Astyanax mexicanus: one gene and its partners. The protein of the gene in region 2 interacts with the protein of the main gene of each other region in a pairwise test. Links are inferred from orthologs where the notes say so. Each region holds a gene or a part of one and is shown on either strand. Other genes may lie near its edges.

Region 1 (7,636 bases), on a different chromosome or scaffold from region 2:
AGATCAGACAGGAGCAGTTGTGGCACCTTGTCGAGTTAGATTCCTTCACAGATCATTACACACACTCGCGGGGAACGCCGGCGCGAGAGCGGGCGCGCGAGAGCACGCTCATAAATGTGTGATAAATGAAGGCGAGGTGAGGCTGGTGTAGCTTTAATGCTGCACGCCGCGGCAGAAGCTATTAGCATCAGGATCGAAACAGGTGCCATGCAGACAGCTGCTGATGTACATTACTGATTAAACAGTGACACCGACTCACGTACGCCAGCGTAATTTGATTGAACACGGAAGATCAAACATGAGAGAGAGAGAGGGAGAGAAATAAAGAGAGAGAGAGAGAGAGAAAGAGAGAGAGAGAGAGAGAGAGAGAGAGAAAGAGATAGAGAAGCTTCATAAACTCTTATAGGCCACAACTGTAGCCAAGCGTAGTGCATTAGCAGTCAGGCTAATGATAATTCAATATGCTCTCTTTATATATTATCGCTTTTAGTGTCCGAGCATCACTCAGAGTCATTCCTCACGCTCTGCTGCTTTCTCGCCAATGTGGAGCCAGGTTTCCCTCTACTGGCACATCTGTGGTACTGCAAGAAAAAGTGTGTGAAATCTTTGGGAATTACTTGGATTTCTGCATAAGTTGGTCATTAAATGTGTTCTGATCTTCATCTAAGTCACAACAATAGACAAACACAGTCTGCTTAAACTAATACCACACAAAAAAATTATATGTTTGCATGGCTTTATTGAATACAACATGTTAACATTCACAGTGAGGGTGGAAAAAGTATGTGAACCTCTAGGCTAATGACTTTTCTAAAAGCTAATTGGAGCCAGGATTAAAAAACACAAACACCAGTTTAGAGTTTGTTGTTCTTAAGAAGCATTGCTTGAGCTCTTAGAAGACCTACGTTCAAGAGTTGTTGACTTGCATGAAGCTGGAAAGGGTAACAAAAGTATCTCTAAAAGCCTTGATGTTCACGTGTCCACGGTAATACAGACGCTCTACAAAAGTTCAGCACTGTTGCTACTTTCCTTAGGCGTGGTAAAGTCCTGTAAAGATGATTGCAAGAGCACAGCGCAGAATGATCAATGAGGTGAGGAAGAATCCTAGAGTGTCAGCTGAAGACTTACAGAAATCTCTGGCACATGTTACAATCTACGTACAATAAGGAAACATTAAACAAGAATTGAGTTCATGGGAGGACACTACGGAGGAAGCCACTGCTGTCCAAAAAAACATTGCTGCACATTTGAAGTTTGCAAAAGAGCACCTGGATGTTCCACATTACTACTGGCTAAATATACTGTGGACAGATGAAACCAAAATTGAGTTGTTTGGAAGGAACACAAAACGCTATGTGTGAAAAAAAAAGGCACAGCACACCATCATCAAAACCTCATCCAACTGTGAAACATGGTGGAGGGAGCATCATGGTTTGGGGCTGCTTTGCTGCCTCAGGGTCTGGACGGATTGCCGTCATCAATGGAAAAATTAATTCCCAAGTTAACCAAGACATTTTGCAGGAAAACTTAAGACCATCTGTTCCTCAACTGAAGCTCAACAGAGGATGGATGATGCAACAGGACAACGACCCAAAACATAGAAGTAAATCAACAACCGAACGACTTCAACAGAAGAAAATACTGAGCCTTCTGGAGAGTCCTGACCTCCTGAACCCAACTGAGATGCTCTGTGGCATCATGACCTCAAGAGAGAGATTCACACCAGATATCCTGAAACAGTTTATTGAAGAGGAATGATCCAAAATTCCTTCTGACTGTTCTGCAGGTCTGATCTGCAGCTACAGGAAATGATTGGTTGAGGTTTTTGCTGCTAAATGAGGATCAACCAGTTATTAAATCCAAAGATTCACATACTTTCCCCTCACTGTGAATGTTAACATGTTGTGTTCAATAAAACCATGCAAACATAAATATATATATACATATATTTAGTGTGGTATTAGTTTAAGCAGACTGTGTTTGTCTATTGTTGTGACTTTTAATGAACAATTTATGCAGAAATCCAAGTATAATCCCAAAGAGTTCACATACTTTTCTTGCAACTGTATATGCTACTCACACTCAGAAGACGTTTCTACATTAGATATAGCTCTCCATTATCCGTTTTGTGCCCATTTTTTATCCACATGTTATCCACATTTTTATCCACATTTTTTTCTCTGTAAAACTGCTTTGTGACTACTTCTGTTGTAAAAAAGTGTTATATAAGTGAATTAAACTGATTTGAATTACAGACACACTGTTACAGACACACTGATACAAATATGCAGTTCCTGATACACTGTTACACACCTATCATTACAGACACTATCTGAACCATAAAATATATTATTAAAGATTACTGTACAGTGCAGTCTGTTATATTTAACCTGATTGTATCAGACACTTTCCTGCTTCTGGACATTTTTCTTTACTACATTTAATCAAGTTATTGTTTTTTAAGCTTATAAACCATGCTTTTATACGGACACAGTGTGTGTTTGAGGGTTTTACCCACTAGATGGTGGTGCAGTGCTTCCTATATCAAACTGCAGCCCCAGAAAGTTCTGTTCTGAAGGAAAGTGAGAAAGAAACTCCTTTATGATAGACATTCTAATGTCTCTTTTAATTATAGCAATGGTTGCAAATATATGTTGTTGAACATTAGAGGGTCCAGGGTCATCAGCTCACGTAAATGTATCTGTATGCATTTTACATCCGGTCCAGCCAGTACAAAAATTAGCAGTCTTGTATTCCTAAGTTGTCTAATAAAATAATAATAATAATAATAATAATAATAATAATAATAATAATAATAATAATAATAATAATAATAATATTATTAATAATAAAAATATTAATAATAATAATAATAATAATAATAATAATAATAATAATAATAATAATAATAATATGTATACTATACACTCTTTTAAAGGTGTGGACATTTAAAGCAGTACATCTGATCTTTCTCAAACATTTTCTTTGAATATGACAGTTTTTTAGATTTATATTTTTGATCTTTTTTCCTGACTTCTTACGATAATAAAGGATTATTATACTACAGTCATGGTCGAACATTTTGCCACTTTTGTACATATTTTCTCAAAAAATGAACAACAATTGTAAAACATAGCAATACAGCATTGTGTAAATAGGGCATAATCAGCCACAATCTAGTTCAAAAGAAATTCTAGCTGTCCTGCAGGCTCAGGGTGCATCAGTGTCAGTGTGAACTGTCTATCAAAATATATGGAAATAGGCCAAATATGGCATGAAAAGAAAAATAGTAAATACAGTAAAATATGTTGGAGGTTGTTTTGCTGCATCTGGTACTGGTAAATTAATATTATTATATTTTTTTATTTTTTATTGTTTATTCTTTAAATGTCTAATCACCATCAGAAAGCCTGTAACTATTTTAACTAGTTTAACTGGGTTTATTCTTTTTCTTATCATTTCAATTTTTTATTATTCTTTCTATTTATTTATTTATTTATTTATTTATTTTCTTAGGATCTAAGTTCACTATTGTTTATTTGCTGTTTCTCTTTTCTAACTCTTATCATTTGATTTTATCATTTACTTTTTTGCTATTATTATTTTTTTTTTCTTTATTTTAAATTTTATAATTTCTTTACTTTTTTGTTTTCTTTTTTTTTTAGGGGTCATTTTATTTAGGTTACCCTCTTGTATATTATATGTTTATACATTTAATTTATCTAGAATAAATATATTTATTCAAACTGTGTATTTATTATATTTAGAATTTTTTTTATTATTTCTAATTTCTTATCTAATGTTTTAAATCAGTTTTATATTGTAATTGTAAATGAGGGTCACCCTCAATGTACTAATGTACTCCTGAGTTAAAATAAATTACTCTTCTTAGTTTATTTCATCATTTACTTTTTACTATTTTTATTTGTTCTGTATTTTATCTTAATTTTATGAATTCTTAAATTTTTGTGAGTTCATTTTTAAGTGTTTTTTATATTTCACTCTTTTTTATATGTATATATTTTTATTAATCTATATTAAATATATTTATTTATTTTTTTCCTTTATTTTATTCTTTTTTTCTTATGTAATATTTTAAATCAGTTTTATACTATAATTGCGAATGAAGGTGCTCAATGTACTCCCGAGCTAAAATAAATGTTGAATGATTGATTCATTAATTGATTAATTGATTGATTGACTGATTAAATAATGAAACCATTTGCATTTTAATATGACTTAAACATTTATTATTTAAATATGTATTTCCACCCTTCAACCGCTAGAGTGCGTCTGTTGATCAAAGAAAATATGTCCTAAAATATAAATTATAGCGCCTCCTAGCGATTAGAGTTGGAAATAAATCTCAGTAAACGCTCAGCCAGGCTTTGCAGCATTCTGGGATTTGTAGTCCTTTAAGACCCCTGCAGTGTGAGTCCCGCCCCTCGCTCCTGATTGGACGCTGCTGGCTCTGTTTTTTTTGGAGCTACTGGTGTTGCGGTGCGTCAAATACGCATACATTCACTCACTCCTCCTCCTCCCTCCCTCCCTCCCTCTCTCTCTCTCTCTTTCCTTCTTTTGTGCCCCCCTAGCACCCTCCCACCCCTCGGTATCTGCCCCATCCCCCACTCTCTCCCTCTCTCTCTCTCTCTCTCTCTCTCTCTCTCTCTCTCTCTCTCTCTCTCTCTCTTGTATTTTCATCCTGCCTGCGTAAAAAAGGAAAGAGCAGCAGCAGCAGCAGCAGTCAGACTGCCGGATCTACAGCTACATAAAGCCTTCAGACCCGGAGCTACAAAGAAACCAGAGGCATCTAAACACCCAGGATCTGCCCAAACTGGTGAGTTTTAACCTCCACGCTGCTGTTTTCACTTTTTCCAGCTTTCTTTCTTTGCATGAACCCTCCCTTTCCAGCTGTCCATCCAGGAGAAAGAGAGAAAGAGAGAGGCTGGTTTGTTGGTTGGTGCTTGGTGGTTGGTTGGTGCTCCTCAATCCATGGCATCCAAAGCCATGGTAGGTACAGTAGGCATGGAGGCAAGGTGAGTTATGAAACACATATATAGCTACAGTAGCATCTTAGCTAGCTAGCATCATTATTGCTTATCATTGTTTAGCTATAAACTTGTGCGACTAGCTAATCTACAGGATGTATGGAATTGCTATTTTATGGATATATAAGGGATACATAATGCCACACTCCATTGGGCAAACCAAGAATAGCATCCCAAAATGGTGTCGGACAGGCTTTGAATGTGACCAGCTTTTCTATATATAACCTAAAATGATCATAAAGAACCAACACCAGGTCCAGATCTTCATTCTATACAGGAGAAAGAGAGAGAGATGGAGGGAAATAAAGCAAGAGAGAGAAAGAGAGATGCTGGTTTGTTGGTTGGTGTTTGGTGGTTGGTTGGTGCTCCTCAATCCATGGCATCCAAAGCCATGGTAGGTACAGTAGGCATGAAGGCAAGGTGAGTTATGAAACACATATATAGCTACAGTAGCATCTTAGCTAGCTAGCATCATTATTGCTTATCATTGTTTAGCTATAAACTTGTGCGACTAGCTAATCTACAGGATGTATGGAATTGCTATTTTATGGATATATAAGGGATACATAATGCCACAATCCATTGGGCAAACCAAGAATAGCATCCCAAAATGGTGTCGGACAGGCTTTGAATGTGACCAGCTTTTCTATATATAACCTAAAATGATCATAAAGAACCAACACCAGGTCTAGATCTTCATTCTATACAGGAGAAAGAGAGAGAGATGGAGGGAAATAAAGCAAGAGAGAGAAAGAGAGATGCTGGTTTGTTGGTTGGTGTTTGGTGGTTGGTTGGTGCTCCTCAATCCATGGCATCCAAAGCCATGGTAGGTACAGTAGGCATGGAGGCAAGGTGAGTTATGAAACACATATATAGCTACAGTAGCATCTTAGCTAGCTAGCATCATTATTGCTTATCATTGTTTAGCTATAAACTTGTGCGACTAGCTAATCTACAGGATGTATGGAATTGCTATTTTATGGATATATAAGGGATACATAATGCCACAATCCATTGGGCAAACCAAGAATAGCATCCCAAAATGGTGTCAGACAGGCTTTTAATGTGACCAGCTTTTCTATGTATAACCAGATATGATCATGAAGACCCACCACCAGGTCCAGATCTCCATTCGGGCCAGGAGAAAGAGAGAGAGGTGGTGGGAAAGAAAGCAAGAGAGAGAAAGAAAGAGAGAGAGGCTGGATCATTGGTTAGTGCTTGGGTAGTTTGGGGCTCCTCAATCCATGGCATCCAAAGCCATGGTACGTACTGTAGGCTGGAGGGAAGGTGTGTTATGAAACACATAGTTACCCTAGCATCCTAACTAGTTAGCATTCTTGGGTATTGCTTTCTAGCCTGCTAGCGAGCTAGCTAGTTAGCCATATTAGCCTAGCCTATACTATCTATAAGGATGTGAGGCACCCATGCACTCCATCCATACACCATGCTAATAATGCTCCACACCATTGGGCATAGCAAGCATAGCATCCCAAAATGGTGCCCAGCTTTTTTTATATAACCAAACATGACCATAAAGACCCACCACCAGGACCAGATCCTCATTCTGTCCAGGAAAAATAAAAAAGAGAGAATAAGAGAGGCTTTAGTTGTTGGTTGGTGCTCCTCAAACCATGGTACCCAAGCCATGAGTTATAAAACCCGTAGCTATCTTGCTTACCCTTACTTAGCTTGCTAAATCAGTCTTCGAATATATATGATGTATGAAGTTGCTATTTCATGGATATATGAGGATTTGAGATACCCAAAGAGGATGCCCTCCTTAACTCATTCACTCCATCCACTATGCTAATAATGCCTCACTTCACTGCGCCAACCAAACATAGTATTCCAAAATGCCAGATCTTCAATCTGACCAGAAGAAAAGAGATAGAAAGTGATAGAGCAAAGAAAAGAAAAAAGGAGAGAGTTTTTGGTTCGTTGGTGTGTTGGTTGGTTGGTCCTTGATTGGTGATTCTCAAACCATGACATCCAAGCTATATTAGCCGCCTTATCTGTAAGCTGTATGGAATTGCATGGATTTTTACATATAACCAAATATGATCATGAAGACCCACCACCAGGATGTTTGGAATTGGTATTGCATGGATATATGAGTGATATATGAATATATGGATATATGGATATATGAATTTGAGGCTCCCATCCACTTTATACACCAAGCTCCACTGGGCAAACCAAGCATAGCATCCCAAAAGGGTGTCCATTTTTTTTTGTTTATATATAAAACTAAATATGATGATGACTCACCACCAAGACCAGATCTTCATTCTGTCTAGGAAAGAAAGAGAGAGAGGTAAACACTTTTGGCCTGTACTGTATGGAAATGCTATAAATGTTTGAGGCAATGAGATACTCAAGAAAGATGCCCCACTTTACCAGATCTTCATTTTGTCCAGGAAAAGAAAGAGAGAGGGAAGTTAAGAAAGAAAGAGGGATTAAGAGGCTTAGTTGTTGGTTGATGGTGCTTAAACCATGGCACCCAAACCATGATGTTTTTGGTATGGAGTTACCCTAGCATCTTAGCTAGCTAGAATATGATGATCATGAAGACCCACCAGATTCCCCCA
Region 2 (7,358 bases):
TGAGTTAACTCAAAAGGTACAGGACAAATTGAGGGTAGGACTGGAAAGCTTAAGTGTGAGTTAGGATAACTCTTAACTAGACTAAGTTAATCTGTATCTTACATGTGAATTAGGAGGTAGAACCTCTAATTAAACTGCAGTAACTCAAAAAGTCATAACATACAGGATGAATTGAGGGAGGGGGAGGACTAAAATGCTTTTGACTAAACTTACAGTTGAGTTAACTCGAACCCCTTTAAGTCAAGTTTTTAAGTTGGCCTGCCTGTTAAATTTTTAATGGGTGCAAAACCTCTGAGGTACAGAAGCGGATCGAGGCTGGAGGAGCGAGCAGGGCGAAACGCAGCAGCTCAGCTACTCTCTTATTCAGCAAAAGCTGAAGACAACAGATCCAGCACTGCAGAGGGTAGCTGTGCTCCATCACGTGGCGAGGCCGGAGCAGCGGATACAGAGGGAAGCATGGGTATAGGGGACGAGGGAAGGCGTGGCATGTGAAGCCCGGCGCAGATGACAATTCTCGAACACGGGTCGGCGCCCGGTGCGACTATTTTTTGCAGCGGGAGGCGCAGAGGACAGGCCGGAAGAGAGACGGAGAGGAAGACAAAACGTGTCTGTAGTCAGGGAAGGGGGGGGTAGAGTTTAAAAAAATAAAGCATCCTTGCCTGAAGGCATGAAGAAGGGAGGAGAAGCAGGAGTAAAATAGAGCAAAGCGTTCTGCTGCCCTCTCTATAATGCACGCGTTCATCCTCCTCCAGCTCCGAAGAAGGCCTTTCTCTTTTTTTTAATTACGCACCCTTGTGCAACATGGAGCGCCATCGATTTTCATGACTTTGTTCTATTATAGTAACAAGCGTCTGAAGCCTTCTTACCCGAGTGCCGTCGGTTCGCGATGTCGACTCGCGTAGTAGCGCTGGGGGGCGGGAGGAAGGGGGGAGGGGGGGGGGGGGGTAGAGAGAAAAAAAACAGATAAGTAAGATTAAAGAAGGAGAACATGAATAATTCACACTCTCTTCCCCACCAAACTGTAATGTCATGTTTGCCGTTGTTGGTTAGACCTTGGATCCGCACTTGAATCAAATATCAGCCTTTTTTTTTCCCCTCCTAATACAACATGTTTTTATCACTATTAATGGATCTTCAAGGTGTTGTTGTGTGTTATAGGAGTCGGTTTAGGCAATTTTGCCTGATTTGACTCCAAACTGCTCTGGACTCTGAATGCTAACCACCGCGTGCTGCTGCAATGAATTATTTACTGCTGCGTGTGCCACCCTGCTTCAGGTGAATGGTGGGTTTTGGAAGCTGTGAATAGAGCAGGCAAAAAGAGTGTTTTTTATTTTTATTTTCCACAGGCCCCTCAGTACCTGCCTCGTTTTTCTCTGGTCAGACTGGCATTTTACGAATAAGAGGCTCTTCTCACATTTAATTAATGATGTGCCTACCCTTAAATAATGGAGTTAAAGGAGTTATTTATTATTAGAGGTTGAACACTCTTGCATGGGGCCTTCAGCTTGTCAGAAAGAAAGAATTCTAGCACTTACTGTATATTGGATCCAGGTATTGTGCTGTGAAAGTAATCTTTATGAAAGTAGTATGGAGTTAGTTGCATTCCTACATTAAAAGACCTTAAAAGAGGTTTTTACTTAGTATTGTAAGTATTGTTATTAGGCTCGTAACAACAGTGGACGCCTTGTTTTGGTGCAGTTTAGGAAAATTTCTTAAACTGTAATTTTTTTGTTTGTTGTAGCTGCAGAACAATTTAGTTCACTTATTAGACACAAGTCAATTATTGTCAAATGCAGTGGTCTAGCAGTCTTAAGCACTGCTACTATGATCGGGAGATTGCATGTTCGAATCCCGGTCATGCAGCAGTTGGAAAGTGTGGAGAAGGTGGCTGACTTCACATGTATCAGAGGGGGCATGTGCTAGTCATAACTAGTGATGCAGGATATACAGTTGGCTAGCAGCTAAATTAACATAAATTTAACGCTTATTTTATTTGTTTTTTTTTGTTTGTTTATCTGCCTTTGCTTATCAAATGTAACCCTTACTAAAACCCTCACCCACTTTAATCCCCTAAGACCCGTACTCTTGCATTGCATGCATTTTTTATTTCTTTTTGCTGTTTGGGCTAATTGGCTCCTGATTAATGGGAAAACAAAGAATTATCTTTTTACATGATGTAGTTTCTGAGAAAAAAAAAATATGGGTTACATAGGTTTATATTTTGATAGAACAAAATATTCATTTAAATTTCTGAACAAAATCCAGACTGCAACGTGTTAAAATCTACTGACAGTATAATGTCCTCATAAGAGGACACCAGGCTCTTGTAGAGCAAAATTTAGTGTTGTGGTCTAGACAACCCAAAATGTGATGTCCACACATGTGGACGCCAGGTCCTAGGAGGTTAATGAATGTGTATGTTTGTTAGTACATGCTTGAGAATCACCTTGATAGAAATGTGAGACATTTTCTAATGCTGATTACAGGATGGATTCAGGACAGGTATTCTGGGACAGTGTGTTAGGTCATACAGGACATGTATGTCATGGGCTGTGAATGACAAAGCCATTTTTAATTCAAGGTGTCTGCTAGAAATACTATATTTGTACCTCCATAATCCTGTTTTGCTCCCTATTTTTTTTTCAACTCATTTACACTAGTATACATCAGCTGAATACAAATGAGGAGTTTTTTAACATGTCCCCTCATTGCCTGAAGGCTGACAGATGGACACACTGTAAGCTTCGGTTCTATATAGTACTGAAACAGAGTTCTTTGGCATGTAAAAATAGTGGAACTCTTTTTTGTGTGTTAGAATATTTTAAAAATCACAAAGCACTGGAACACTGCACTTACTTTTTATATTGTACACCATAAACCAATCATCTCGAGTATAAAAAACCACCTGTCCCCCTTGTGCCACTTAAAGCAGCAGTTCTATGTGTTTTTCTTTTAAGCTAAAAGTATTAGTGCTGCTGAGTAGAAAGAGGACCAACTGTTCTAACTAATTTATTCTCTAAATCCACAAAACTTGACTGTCGCTTTTAAAGAGCTCTGACCTGTAAAGGCATCAACTCCACAAGACCTCTGAAGGAAATCTGTGGTATCCTCTGGTACCAAAGCCAAGAACGTTAGCAGCAGATCCCTTAAGTCCTTAGAGTTGGGAGGTGGGACCTTCACTGATCTTATCAGTGAGCCTTGGGAGCCCTTGACCCTACTCGCGGTTCACCAGTTGTTCTTTCCTGGAGCACTTTTTGTAGATATGCTTCACAAGAACACCTTGGCATACCCTGAGGTTTGGGAGATTATGTGAACCTCCAGTAATCTACCCATTAATGTTTGCTTATTGCCAAAGCATCTCTTTAGTATTATGCTGGAAAAGTGTTTAACACACCAGCGTTAATAACTGGCTTTATATATCATTGTATTAAATGAGTAATATAGGAAAAATATGAAAAAAAAAAAAACAGTAGAGTAAAGAAGGCTTTTCCCTGGTTAATGTTCATAACTTCTTCCCTCAACCATTTAACCAAGTCCAAGTCTACATCCCGCTGTAATATTTGTTTTTACTGCATTTCCCTTAACTCATTCACTCTAATAGAAATACTCAGCCTAAAATAGCTGTGTAATATTAATAATAACCAAACACCTGCCATAATAACCCAACCCAGATGGTTCGGATGAGTTGGAGCGAAAAGTGAACAAGCTTGTTTGTGTTTTGCCATTTAGCACAAGCTAACACTAATCATCAAGATGTATTTGCATAAAAGTGACAGAGCCCTTAAAGTATTAATCAGCTGAAATGAATGAATAAATAAATAAATACATAAATAAATAAATACAGCTTCAGGTCAGAAAAGACCACTTAAAAAATTTGAGTTTCTTTAATTTTACCCAGTGAAAAACCTATGGAATATAATCAAGAGGAAGGTGGATGACCACAATCCATCAAATCAAGCTGAACTGCTTGAATTTGTGCACCAGGAGTGGCATAAAGTTATCCAAAAGCAGTGTGTAAGACTGGTGGAGGAGAATGAATATAAACTTGTTTTCTTTGCATTATTCAAGGTCTTAAAGCTCATAGAAAAGCTTTTTTTGTTATTTCAGCCATTTCCATTTTCTGTAAATAAATGCTCTAAATGACAACATTTTATTTGGAATTTTGGAGAAATGTTGTCCGTAGTTTATATAATAAAACAACAATATTCACTTCAAACATAAATAAACAACCCTCCCACGGCGAGCATTACTCCGCCCCCAGCCCTTATGGCGCATCTCTGATTGGCTATCTCTCGCCGAAGTCCCGCCTCCGCCCGCCTCGAGCGTTCCATTCCACGCGGAGCTTCATACATACGCGCGCGCGAAAGTGGCGCTCTCGCGGATGAGGGAGAGCCGTTAGCGGAGCGGCGGTTAGACTCAGTCAGGCTCAGTGTGTGTTTGTATACAGTGTGTGTACAGGCTTCTCCCAGCTGCTAAAGTTCGCTTTAAACACCCGGAGACGCTAGCTTTTCACCGCTTACCGTCAGCGGGAAGCGGGTTAGTCTGTATTTAAGAGGATAACCTGCTTGTTTGAGCGCGTTTGGACCGGAACCGGTGGAAAAACAGACAGAAACTGCGAACTAAAGAGAGCAGGCTGCAGCTCCGAGCCTAGGAACCAAAAACAGAGAGATAAAAGGTTCATTCTGAGGTAAATTTCAGTAGTTTTAGGTGATATTTCTGTAATTCGGAGGTTTAAAACCCGGTTAAACCCGCTTCGTCTTTTTCAAACCGCAAAACAACCGTTGAAGACAAAGCCAGGCGCTCGAGCGCGGACCGCGAGCCGAGACACGCGCGCCTCACCGCCTCCGCCTCCTCCACCGTTCCCGCTCAGCCCGGCGGCGCTGCCTCAGCCTCCAGCCCAGCCATGCAGCATCCCCTCGCGGGCGGCCCGTGCGTCGCTCTGCCCCGGGTGGACGTGTGTCCGCAGCTCTCCTGTGCCTTGACGTTCATGTACTTACAGCAGGTGAGTGGATGGAAGGATGGGTGAGTGTGCAGAGAGAGAGAGAGAGAGAATGAGTGAAAACTGAACGGGAGTAGTGCTGCTACGATTAGTCGGCACAATCGACAGAATAATCAACTTCAAGATCAACAATATGTATAATATATATAACAATATATAGTCAATGTTGACTAATAATCGTCAGTGTATGTATACTGCACTTCACACTACACTACACTAGAGTTAAAAGCTGCTCAGCCACTCACCAATTAGTCGATTAGTCAGCATAATCGACTTTGTTGATTAGAAATATTTCAATCTTTACTAATAAACTGCTTTTTTATCCCATGCACTTTCTTTTTATAGAAAGTAACTAAACACTTCTAAAATGTTTGAATTCACTTTGAATGCTTCCTTCAAAGAGAATTTTACACAGTATTGTTTAAGTTGTTTTGCTATTTTTAGTAGTTTCTACCCTGATACTGTTAAAATAGGATGCAATAATTACATTATCAACTTATATACATGTTATATACATTACCTGCTGACCTCTATATTAGAGTATTATTAGTGTTTAATTGACAAGACATCATGTTAAAATTGTTTAGGATATTAAATATAGCATATTTTAAGTTCCAGTTCCATTGTGTAAATAATGTAAATAATAATTAAACATATTTATTCCATGCTCTTATTTTTGTAGAAAGTAACTAAACATGTCCAAAAATGTTTGACTTCACTTCCTTCCATTAAAGAGAATATTACACAATATTGTTTCTTAAGCTTTTGTTTTGCTTTTTTTTTTTTAATCTGTTACTGTTACAATAATTACATTATTGTACGTTTTTTTTTTCTAATTTATACACATTACCTCAAAATAGTCAGTTCCAGTTTCAATGTCTAAATACTCTTAATAATTCAAAGTATTTTGCTTTGAGTAAAGTAATGAGTAATGCATTATTATCCTGAAGTATTAGCATTTTATAATTGGCATTAAACCGTTCCCAAAATGAAAATAATGTCAGTATTCAATCACAGTTATTTCTTGGACAAAACATAATCTACAACTTTTTTTTTATAATGACAGGCCTAGTATTCAGGCTCAGACAGTGTACTGCAATTGCAATTCATTTTTTTAAAAATGAATAAAAAAAAAACTATATAAACAGTACTTTTATCTTTTCAGTAAGTTTGTTAGTGTTTACAATACTATATAAGATATGTTTTTACTTTTGTTTGCAATTCGTTTGCAAGATGATTCTAAAAATAAGTAATTTAACTTTACTATAAATGTGTCTGTCTCTAATAGTGTATTTAAATTGCTGTTGAAAGCAACTGTTTATAGTTTTACTGTACACTTTATTTTTTTGTGATTCAGAGCTGAGGATTGATTTAATAGCCCATTATATAAAATGGTCAAAAACTACATAAACAGTAAGTTGCCTTTTTGTAAATGTAGTTTCAGTGTAGTTAGTGTATACACTATTATGTTAAACAAATCAATCTAAACATTATTAAAATTGTAAGACATTATAGAGTGAAACTATATTGACATTTTTAATGACCAATTATGATTAAGTCAAATGCATGAACACCTAATTAAACAAAGCAGTGTAAAGTTGGTGAGACATGCTTCAGTGTGAACGATGCTTAAATTCACCATCATCATTAATGCAACCTAAAACATCACCTGATTCCTCTGATGTTGTGGTATTATGTTACCAGTGTTGTGATACTAGTAAGTTACTAACATCACTTAACACTTAATACAAGACACCTTTATTTGTGGTTTAATGTGGTTTTACATGTATATATTTATATATAATACATGTGAAACTCCTGTTTTTGTAGTATGATTGCATAGTGTAACTGTAGTTTTAACATTGTAGTTTTTAAAGTGTGTCATCATTTTATGTTGGACTGTCCAATGGAAATGCCCCAAAATGGAATTAAATATTTTGACATTGACTTCTATTGGAAGTTTAGAAGGTTGATGTAATGTAAATGCTAAGAGTCTGCCGGATTTATACACTGATCAGCTGCATAATATTAGCACCACCATTTAAGGCAGAGTCCCATGATATCTGGCGCCAAGACATACATTAGCAGCAGATGCTTACAGATAAGTCATGTAAGTTTTGGAGTGAGGCCTCCATGGGACACATCAGTGAGTCTTAGGTGTCCATAACCCTGTTGTCAGCTTACTGGTTGTCCATTCTTGGACAACTTCTAGTCGATTGAGACTAAAGGGCAGCACAATATTGGAAGATCTTTACATTGTGATATTTTGTTGTTCTGCAATATATATTGCAATATTAAAAATCTGCAATCTGTGTATCAAAGTGTATCTCATTTAAAATGAGAATGATGTGATTTTCAT
Region 3 (7,078 bases), on a different chromosome or scaffold from region 2:
GAGCTTTCCACACAAGCACACTAGGCCTCCTTCATTCGCAGTTAAAGCAGCAAGCCGATTGGCTCTTTTTGTTAAAGAGTGGGATTTAAACGGACGTTGGTGTTGAGGCCACACTAATAATTCACTACAATTCACATGACCTTGCCATGAGCACAGTGACCAGTGTTCAGCCTTACTCACAAGACAACACCTCAGAACGTATATATACCCCTATGCATCACCTTACAGCCCCCCTGCAGCTGTTACAGTGGGTATGGAACTTTACGAGGTCTCTTAACCCTTTTAGACTCTTCATCCATTACAATGGACATCATGTATTTTCTTATTTTTTCAAATGTTTTATTGCACGGAACACTAATCGTGACCTGTTGTTAATCAGAATAGAGTATAAATGAGCCAATGAAAAAGTTTATAAGCCAATGAAATAGCCAATAGTTTAGCCCCGCCCACTCTTGGGGGGAAAAAAACAGCACTAGAGCCCAAGGGACAAATGGAAAATAATTAATTTTTCATTATTTTAGTGATTTAGAACACTTTTTTAATGAATGTTTTAGTGTTTAGGGATAGCATGTGATGTTTCAATCCAATACACAAAAAACAATAAGTCTTCCTTTGTGTACATTACAGATAGAAAACAGCATTATTATGGCACAAAATTCAGGCCTGAAAGGGTTAAAACCATTTATATCCAAGGAATGGGAGAATTTTTGCAAAAAACCTGGACTGTTAATATCATCGACAGAGAATGAGACAAAAAAGGCATTGTATAAAACTTTTACATCATCACAAACTAATCTAATAAAGACAATTGAGAGATGAAAACGTGGGTTGGAAGCAAACATTATAATACAATAAATAAAAATGAGAGAAAGCATTTAAAACAGGGCATTCATTTAATAATAACCTGACATTAGAATGAGATTGGAAAATAAAAACCCTTCTATTATGTCACAGTTCAGTTATATAGTATAAAAAGGCTGTTGTTATTGTTCTTCTGAGACACTGAAGTTATGAGATACAAGGTTTTGCTAATGTAACATTTAGAAGCGTTAATGTAAAGGTTATTTCTCTGGAAGGTTCAGATCATGTCCTGTTTTCAGATTACTGTATTACTGCACTCAGCCGGGTTTAAGAGTTTACAGACCAGTCAGCCCCTCCCTCTGTGATGACGTCACTAAGAAGCCCACCACAGAAGCCCACAAGATAAAGGGGTAAATTGAGAGAAAAAGATTAACAGATAGATAGATAGATAGATAGATAGATAGATAGATAGATAGATAGATAGATAGATAGATAGATAGAGTGATTATTATATAATCATAATTCTTGATTAATAATGAAATTATCATAATCATGATTCATTTTGTTATAAATATTTTTATGTCTGTTGTGTATGTTCATACCAATGTTGTTAATTGTTATAATGCTTTGGCAACACTAACTCATAGTCATGCTAATAAAGCTACATTATATTAAAAATTGAATTGAGAGCGAGAGACAGGGAGAGAGGTTAACTGAGGGAGAGAGGGAGAGAGGGGGAGAGAGAGAAAGAGAGAGGTAAATTGGTAGGAAGAGGTCAATTGGTAGAGAGAGGTTAACAGAGAGAGAGAGAGAGAGGATAAACAGAAAAAGAAGGTAAACAGGGAGAAAGATATAGAGAAATAAAGAGGATCAATATAATCATTTTTAATTATTGGTATTTTATTAACTACTGATGTCTCTTATTTTGTAATAATTGATTTGTTTTGTTGTAATAATTGTTGTGATTCTTAAATAATATTATTGTTATTACATTCACAATAAAGCTTTACTTAATAAAAGCTGTACTTTAAATCATTAATCTTACAGAAAGGTAAACAGAGAGAAAGAGAGAGAGAGTGTGTGTCTGTGTTTGTGTGTGTGTGTGTGTGTGAGATGTAATCGGGCATTTCAATCAGAAGCTGATAAATTTGCTTCACCCAGAAAATAAACATCACGTGACCGCTGTTTACCCCCCCCGCAAAAAAAACTCGATCAGGCGCGCGCGTGTCCCGCCGCCACCCGGTTAATAATAAATAATGATATAAGTAAAAGGGCGCGCGCTCTGGCTGTGTGACGTCAGCGGCGGGATTTCAGTCCGCGCCATGAGCAGATCAACGTGACCGGAGCGGGAGAGCGCGCGCGCGGCACAGAAAAGAGAGTGTGGTGCCGCACGTGCCCGAGAGCGGTGTCGGTGATACGGTGAGTGCACGAGCTGGACCTGGACAACAACAACAGCCTGCACGAGCCTCGGTCCTGCGCTCATCAGCATGAATCACCAGTCTGATCACCTATTAAATCACACAGCGCGAGCTCTGATATCTATCGATAATCTTACACTTAATCCATTGCTGACACAGATGTGCAAATGCACACACAAAGCTTGTTTAGTGTCTGTGGAAGTCTGTCGTCTGTCTATCTACTCCAAATTGACAACCCTTCTGATAAATGCATTAACATATTTTAAGTTGCACCTATTGCTGACACAGCGGTGCAAATGCACACAATTGGTCTAGCTCTTATAGAGAACTACTGCCAATAGAATAGAACAGAATAGAATAGAATAGGAGTGTACAGAGTGCTAGAGAGTGGTGTGTTTTAAAGAATTTGTGGTCTGACCTCTGGTTTCATCTTATTACACCTTCTCTCGTGGTACACTGATCTGACCCCTGGGCTGCTCCTCAAACTGACTAAGTCCTAAACACCCATTTTACATGACACTGACAGGGGATCAGTTTTCATGCACAGCCCAAATCAATGCATCCTGGTTCAGATGAGAAAAATGTCCATTTAATCTAAAGCTAAACATGTTATAAACCAGTATATGCTATGTTCTGTATCTAATGATGTAAAGCAATATGAAAAAAGAACCAATTGAATTATTACTTTGCATGTCTGTCTATCATTTAAAAAACAATCCAACTAAAACACATTTTTATTAACCCCCCCAACCCCCCCAAATAATCCGTGTTTGTGTTCTTGTTATGTAGTAAGTAGCACGTGTGGACTCATGCGCGAGAGAGACATCCAATCGTCTGTCTGTACTTCTATCCATCCATCTATATCCAACTGTCTGTCAGTCTGTCTGCATACGTTACTACATGCTGTAAATAATACTGCAAATCCTTCTAAGCATTTTATTAAATGTTAGTTATTATTAACTAAAACATTTTATTATAACAATATTTATGTCTGTCTATCTATCGATCTATCTATAATCAAACTGTGTTTATCCAAGTAACCACTATATGCTGTAAATAATGCTGCAAATCATGCTAAGCATATTATTGTTATTGTTGCTATTATAATAAACTAAAAACACATTTTTTATTATTAAAAAAACAAAAAATCTGTCTATCTAACAGTCTATGTATTTATCTGTAATCCAACTGTGTCTGTCTATCTAAGTAAGCCACTATTTGCTGTAAATCATGCTAAATATGCATATTATAATTGTTATTATTATTTTTATTCTTCCGTTTGTCTGTCTGTCTCCATCTATCTATTTTCTGCTGTTCATGATTAAAGTAGCAAAACAAAATACAAAAAAAACACGAAATAATCGCTGCGCGTGTTCTTGTGCGTGTTCTTGTTGTTGTGTAGTAAGCGGCGCTCGCGCGCGCTTGACTCGCTGTGTGAGAGCGAGCGAGCGCGCGATAGCGAGCGAGCGAGAGAGCGCGTGGTGGTACACGCGACACAGGCTGGGGACCTTCTGGAACGTTTTCTTTTTTTCTCTATCCTTTAGCCCCGCCCACCCGTGCCTCTCCGCGCTGCTGATCTGCGATTGGCGGGCTGAACGGACTGAATGGGATTACGCTGGCCAATCGGGAGAAGCTAGGGGCGGGGCGTGCCGAAAAACGGGTGGGAATAACAAAAGAAGTGTCCTGAGAACTGGCGGGGGGAACAGCGCCGTCCAACACGTGAGGCTCATGTGACGGAGGTAGGTCAGTTTAGAGAGAGAGAGAGAGAGAGAGAGAGGGAGGGAGGGATAGAGAGAGAGAGAGAGAGAGAGAGAGAGAGAGAGAGAGAGAGACGTGTCTGTAGTCACAGGGTTTTTTATTTAACACGTAGCTAGTCCAGTTCACCCTCCCACACACATATAGCTCTAGATACAACACACACACTCCTCCTTCATACACACTCTCACACAAACATTTAACAGGAGAGGAGCTTCAAAACTGTCTGAGTTGACGACAAACCACCTTTACGCAAGGACGTTATGCACTTTCCCTGCGGATTTCTTTGAGAACAAGTTCGTTTTTGGCAATTTATGAGCATTTAAAAGCTGTTTCGGCTTCATTTTCGTTAGAAATCGTTTTTTCCTGCGTTATTTTACGCGTAAACGAGACGAAATGGAAAGGATTACAAGCGCACAGCCTCCACCGTGTATGACCAAACACCCCTCTATGGATATTTCAGATATGCCGGGGTAAGTAGCTGGAAATGGGGCAATTTCAGGTCCTCTGAGTAGGAATTCGCCCCTGGATTTCGCTCCAACTGCCTGGGCGGCTCTGCTGCAGCTTGGAGCGAAATCCCGGGACGGATTTGGACTCACAGGCTTTCTAGGCAACTTAAATCATTTTAATCTGTTTTAAAATAGGGAAAAACAAGTCTTATAACATATATTTCTAAAAATACAACTTAATGTCATTTTACTAACTTTTTCTTTATTATTTTCTCATTATTTCTCCCCTTTTCCAAATCTTATTCAGAATGGATTTCCCAATGTATGTGTACAAACCTCGGAGAGGCATGAAACGAGGAGACGACAGCAAGGTAAATACTTAAAAAACAATCAAATATATGGGTGAATATATATATATATATATATATATATATATATTATACACATTGTACACTGCTATTAATTTAGTTAATAATATTCATTAAAACATACAGAAATATTTATAATTGAAGGAATTAAACAAAATAAAATATTAATACATTTGTGCAGCTCACAACATTACACTTGTAGAAAAAAGTTCCTGTATATGCATTTAATGAATGAATGAATTGATTGATTATTTATTTATTTATCTATCTGTCCATGCCCCACGCATGCAAGCTGCACAGCTAGAGCTTATCGTTTTTTAAATGTTTTAAAGTTTTGAATAGTAGTTTAGTAAACTTTTAATTCTAGTTTTAATTTAAACATTATAAAATGAACATGCTCTTGTTTGTTCACCACAGGATACGTACAAGCTGCCACATCGCTTGATTGAAAAGAAGAGACGTGACAGAATAAACGAGTGCATCGCTCAGCTGAAGGATTTGCTCCCTGAACACCTTAAACTCACTGTAAGTATAGCTCTGTGGGAGTGGATTGGAGTGAGTGTGTGGAGCACCAGAGCTCTAAAGCGTCCTCTGGTGGTTGACCTGGAGGAGTTTTCTTATTTTTCACACTTTTATTTTGTGCTGTGACGTGCATTCGAAGCATTTATTGACTTGACTGTTTAGTATACTCATTTGTTATCTATTCGCTTGGCTATTCATTGCGGTTGACTTGCTTGACCGTGATACATTTACAGGATGGTGCATGCACAAGCACAAGTTTTGAGTTTGCATGCTCATGAAGTTTAAAAAAAGTTTAAATATAATTTGTAGAATCTCAACTGAACTAAAACAGTTTGAAATGTTTTTTAACAAGTCTAAGCTTAGGCTTTAGGTTTGTTAGATGTTTTGCAATGCCCGCTGCGTCTCAGTGTCGCTCTCGCCTGGCGGAGAGTTTGTCCTCGGCGAGGCAGCTGAGGGAGCGTTACATAAGAAAGATCAACATGCTTATCTGAGTGCTTCCTCTTTTAGACGCTGGGCCATTTGGAGAAGGCCGTGGTGCTGGAGCTCACGTTAAAGCATGTGAAAGCCCTCAACGGCCTTCTGGAACAGCAGCAGCAGCAGATCATTTCATTGCAGAGCGGAATGCAAATTGGTAAGTTAAAATAAACACTTCATGTAAAGCCGTTTTCCTGCTTTCCTGCTTTCTGAGTAACACGGCGATCTGTTCTCAGAACTTCTGTCACTTGTGTTTGTTCTCTCTTGTGCATGAGTTCACATCAGTCCAATGTTTTTGATGCAACCTGCATCCTGAAATCTTTCTCTCAACTTATTATTAACACATGCTCTACTTTTTTTCTATCTGTTCTGCAGGTGATCAGAGCAATGGCAGCTCAGAAAACAGCGAAGAGATGTTCCGTTCCGGTTTCCATCTCTGTGCCAAGGAGGTACTCCAGTATCTGGCCAGCTTGGAAAGCACACGGGACCTGACCCCAACACACGTTGTCAACCACCTGCACAAAGTGGCTGCTGAGCTCCTGCAGCGTCCAGCCAGCCCCCGCCTGGACACGCCCTCGCCTGGTCGCAAGGGTCAAGAGGCCAGGGAGAAGGCAGCTGCTCCCCAGCCCTGCTCGCCGGAGGGCCACGCCAAAAACTGTGTCCCGGTCATTCAGAGAACGTACAACCCCCAGATCAGCGAACAAAGCGGCAGCGACACAGACACAGACAGCGGCTACGGGGGCGAGCTGGACAAACGAGACTCCAAAGGCCAGAGAATCAGCTACTACAGCAAAGACGCCGCAGAGATGAAGCACGGCCGGTACGGCAGCATCAAGGAGGAGCGAGACGAGCCCCAGGCCAAGCGGGTCAGGTCGGATTCGTCCGAGGACGAGTCTCTGTCGGGTCACGAGTCGCACGGCGGGTACGTGAGCTTCTCGCCCCACCAGCCGCCGCTCTGCATGCCCTTCTACCTCATCCCCCCCACAGCGGCAGCTGCTGCCGCCTACCTGCCCATGCTGGAGAAGTGCTGGTACCCAGGGGGCATGCCTGTGCTGTACCCGGGCATCGGGGGCTCCACGGCTGGGCTGTCTCCTGAAAAACTGCCCTCGTCACTGGTCATGTCTCCGAGAGTAGCCTCCCCGGCTGCCCCTCAGACCCCTATGGACTCTCCTGCTCTCCTTCAGGCCCTGAAACAGGTGCCCCCCTTAAACCTGGAAACCAAAGACTGAACTAACTAACTATAAATAAATAAATAAATAAAAACACCCCCAGCCCACCCTCTGAACGAATG

Evidence for each region. The genes of interacting proteins can lie anywhere in the genome.
Region 1: the proteins of rbfox1 (region 2) and fam168a interact in binary tests that used the Homo sapiens proteins (3 or more experiments, as listed by UniProt). The link is inferred for Astyanax mexicanus from reciprocal best matches to the Homo sapiens genes RBFOX1 and FAM168A.
Region 3: the proteins of rbfox1 (region 2) and bhlhe40 interact in binary tests that used the Homo sapiens proteins (3 or more experiments, as listed by UniProt). The link is inferred for Astyanax mexicanus from reciprocal best matches to the Homo sapiens genes RBFOX1 and BHLHE40.

The regions. Positions count from the first base shown.
Region 1 is NC_064416.1:5,958,341-5,965,976, reverse strand, and holds the start of fam168a (protein FAM168A), read left to right. Parts: upstream 1-4,626; 5' UTR 4,627-4,837; intron 4,838-7,636.
Region 2 is NC_064426.1:5,886,265-5,893,622, reverse strand, and holds the start of rbfox1 (RNA binding protein fox-1 homolog 1), read left to right. Parts: upstream 1-4,347; 5' UTR 4,348-4,903; coding exon 4,904-5,002; intron 5,003-7,358. UniProt on the Homo sapiens protein: RNA-binding protein that regulates alternative splicing events by binding to 5'-UGCAUGU-3' elements. Regulates alternative splicing of tissue-specific exons and of differentially spliced exons during erythropoiesis.
Region 3 is NC_064431.1:29,014,197-29,021,274, forward strand, and holds the start of bhlhe40 (class E basic helix-loop-helix protein 40), read left to right. Parts: upstream 1-4,068; 5' UTR 4,069-4,370; coding exon 4,371-4,447; intron 4,448-4,730; coding exon 4,731-4,794; intron 4,795-5,208; coding exon 5,209-5,316; intron 5,317-5,820; coding exon 5,821-5,944; intron 5,945-6,162; coding exon 6,163-7,016; 3' UTR 7,017-7,078. UniProt on the Homo sapiens protein: Transcriptional repressor involved in the regulation of the circadian rhythm by negatively regulating the activity of the clock genes and clock-controlled genes.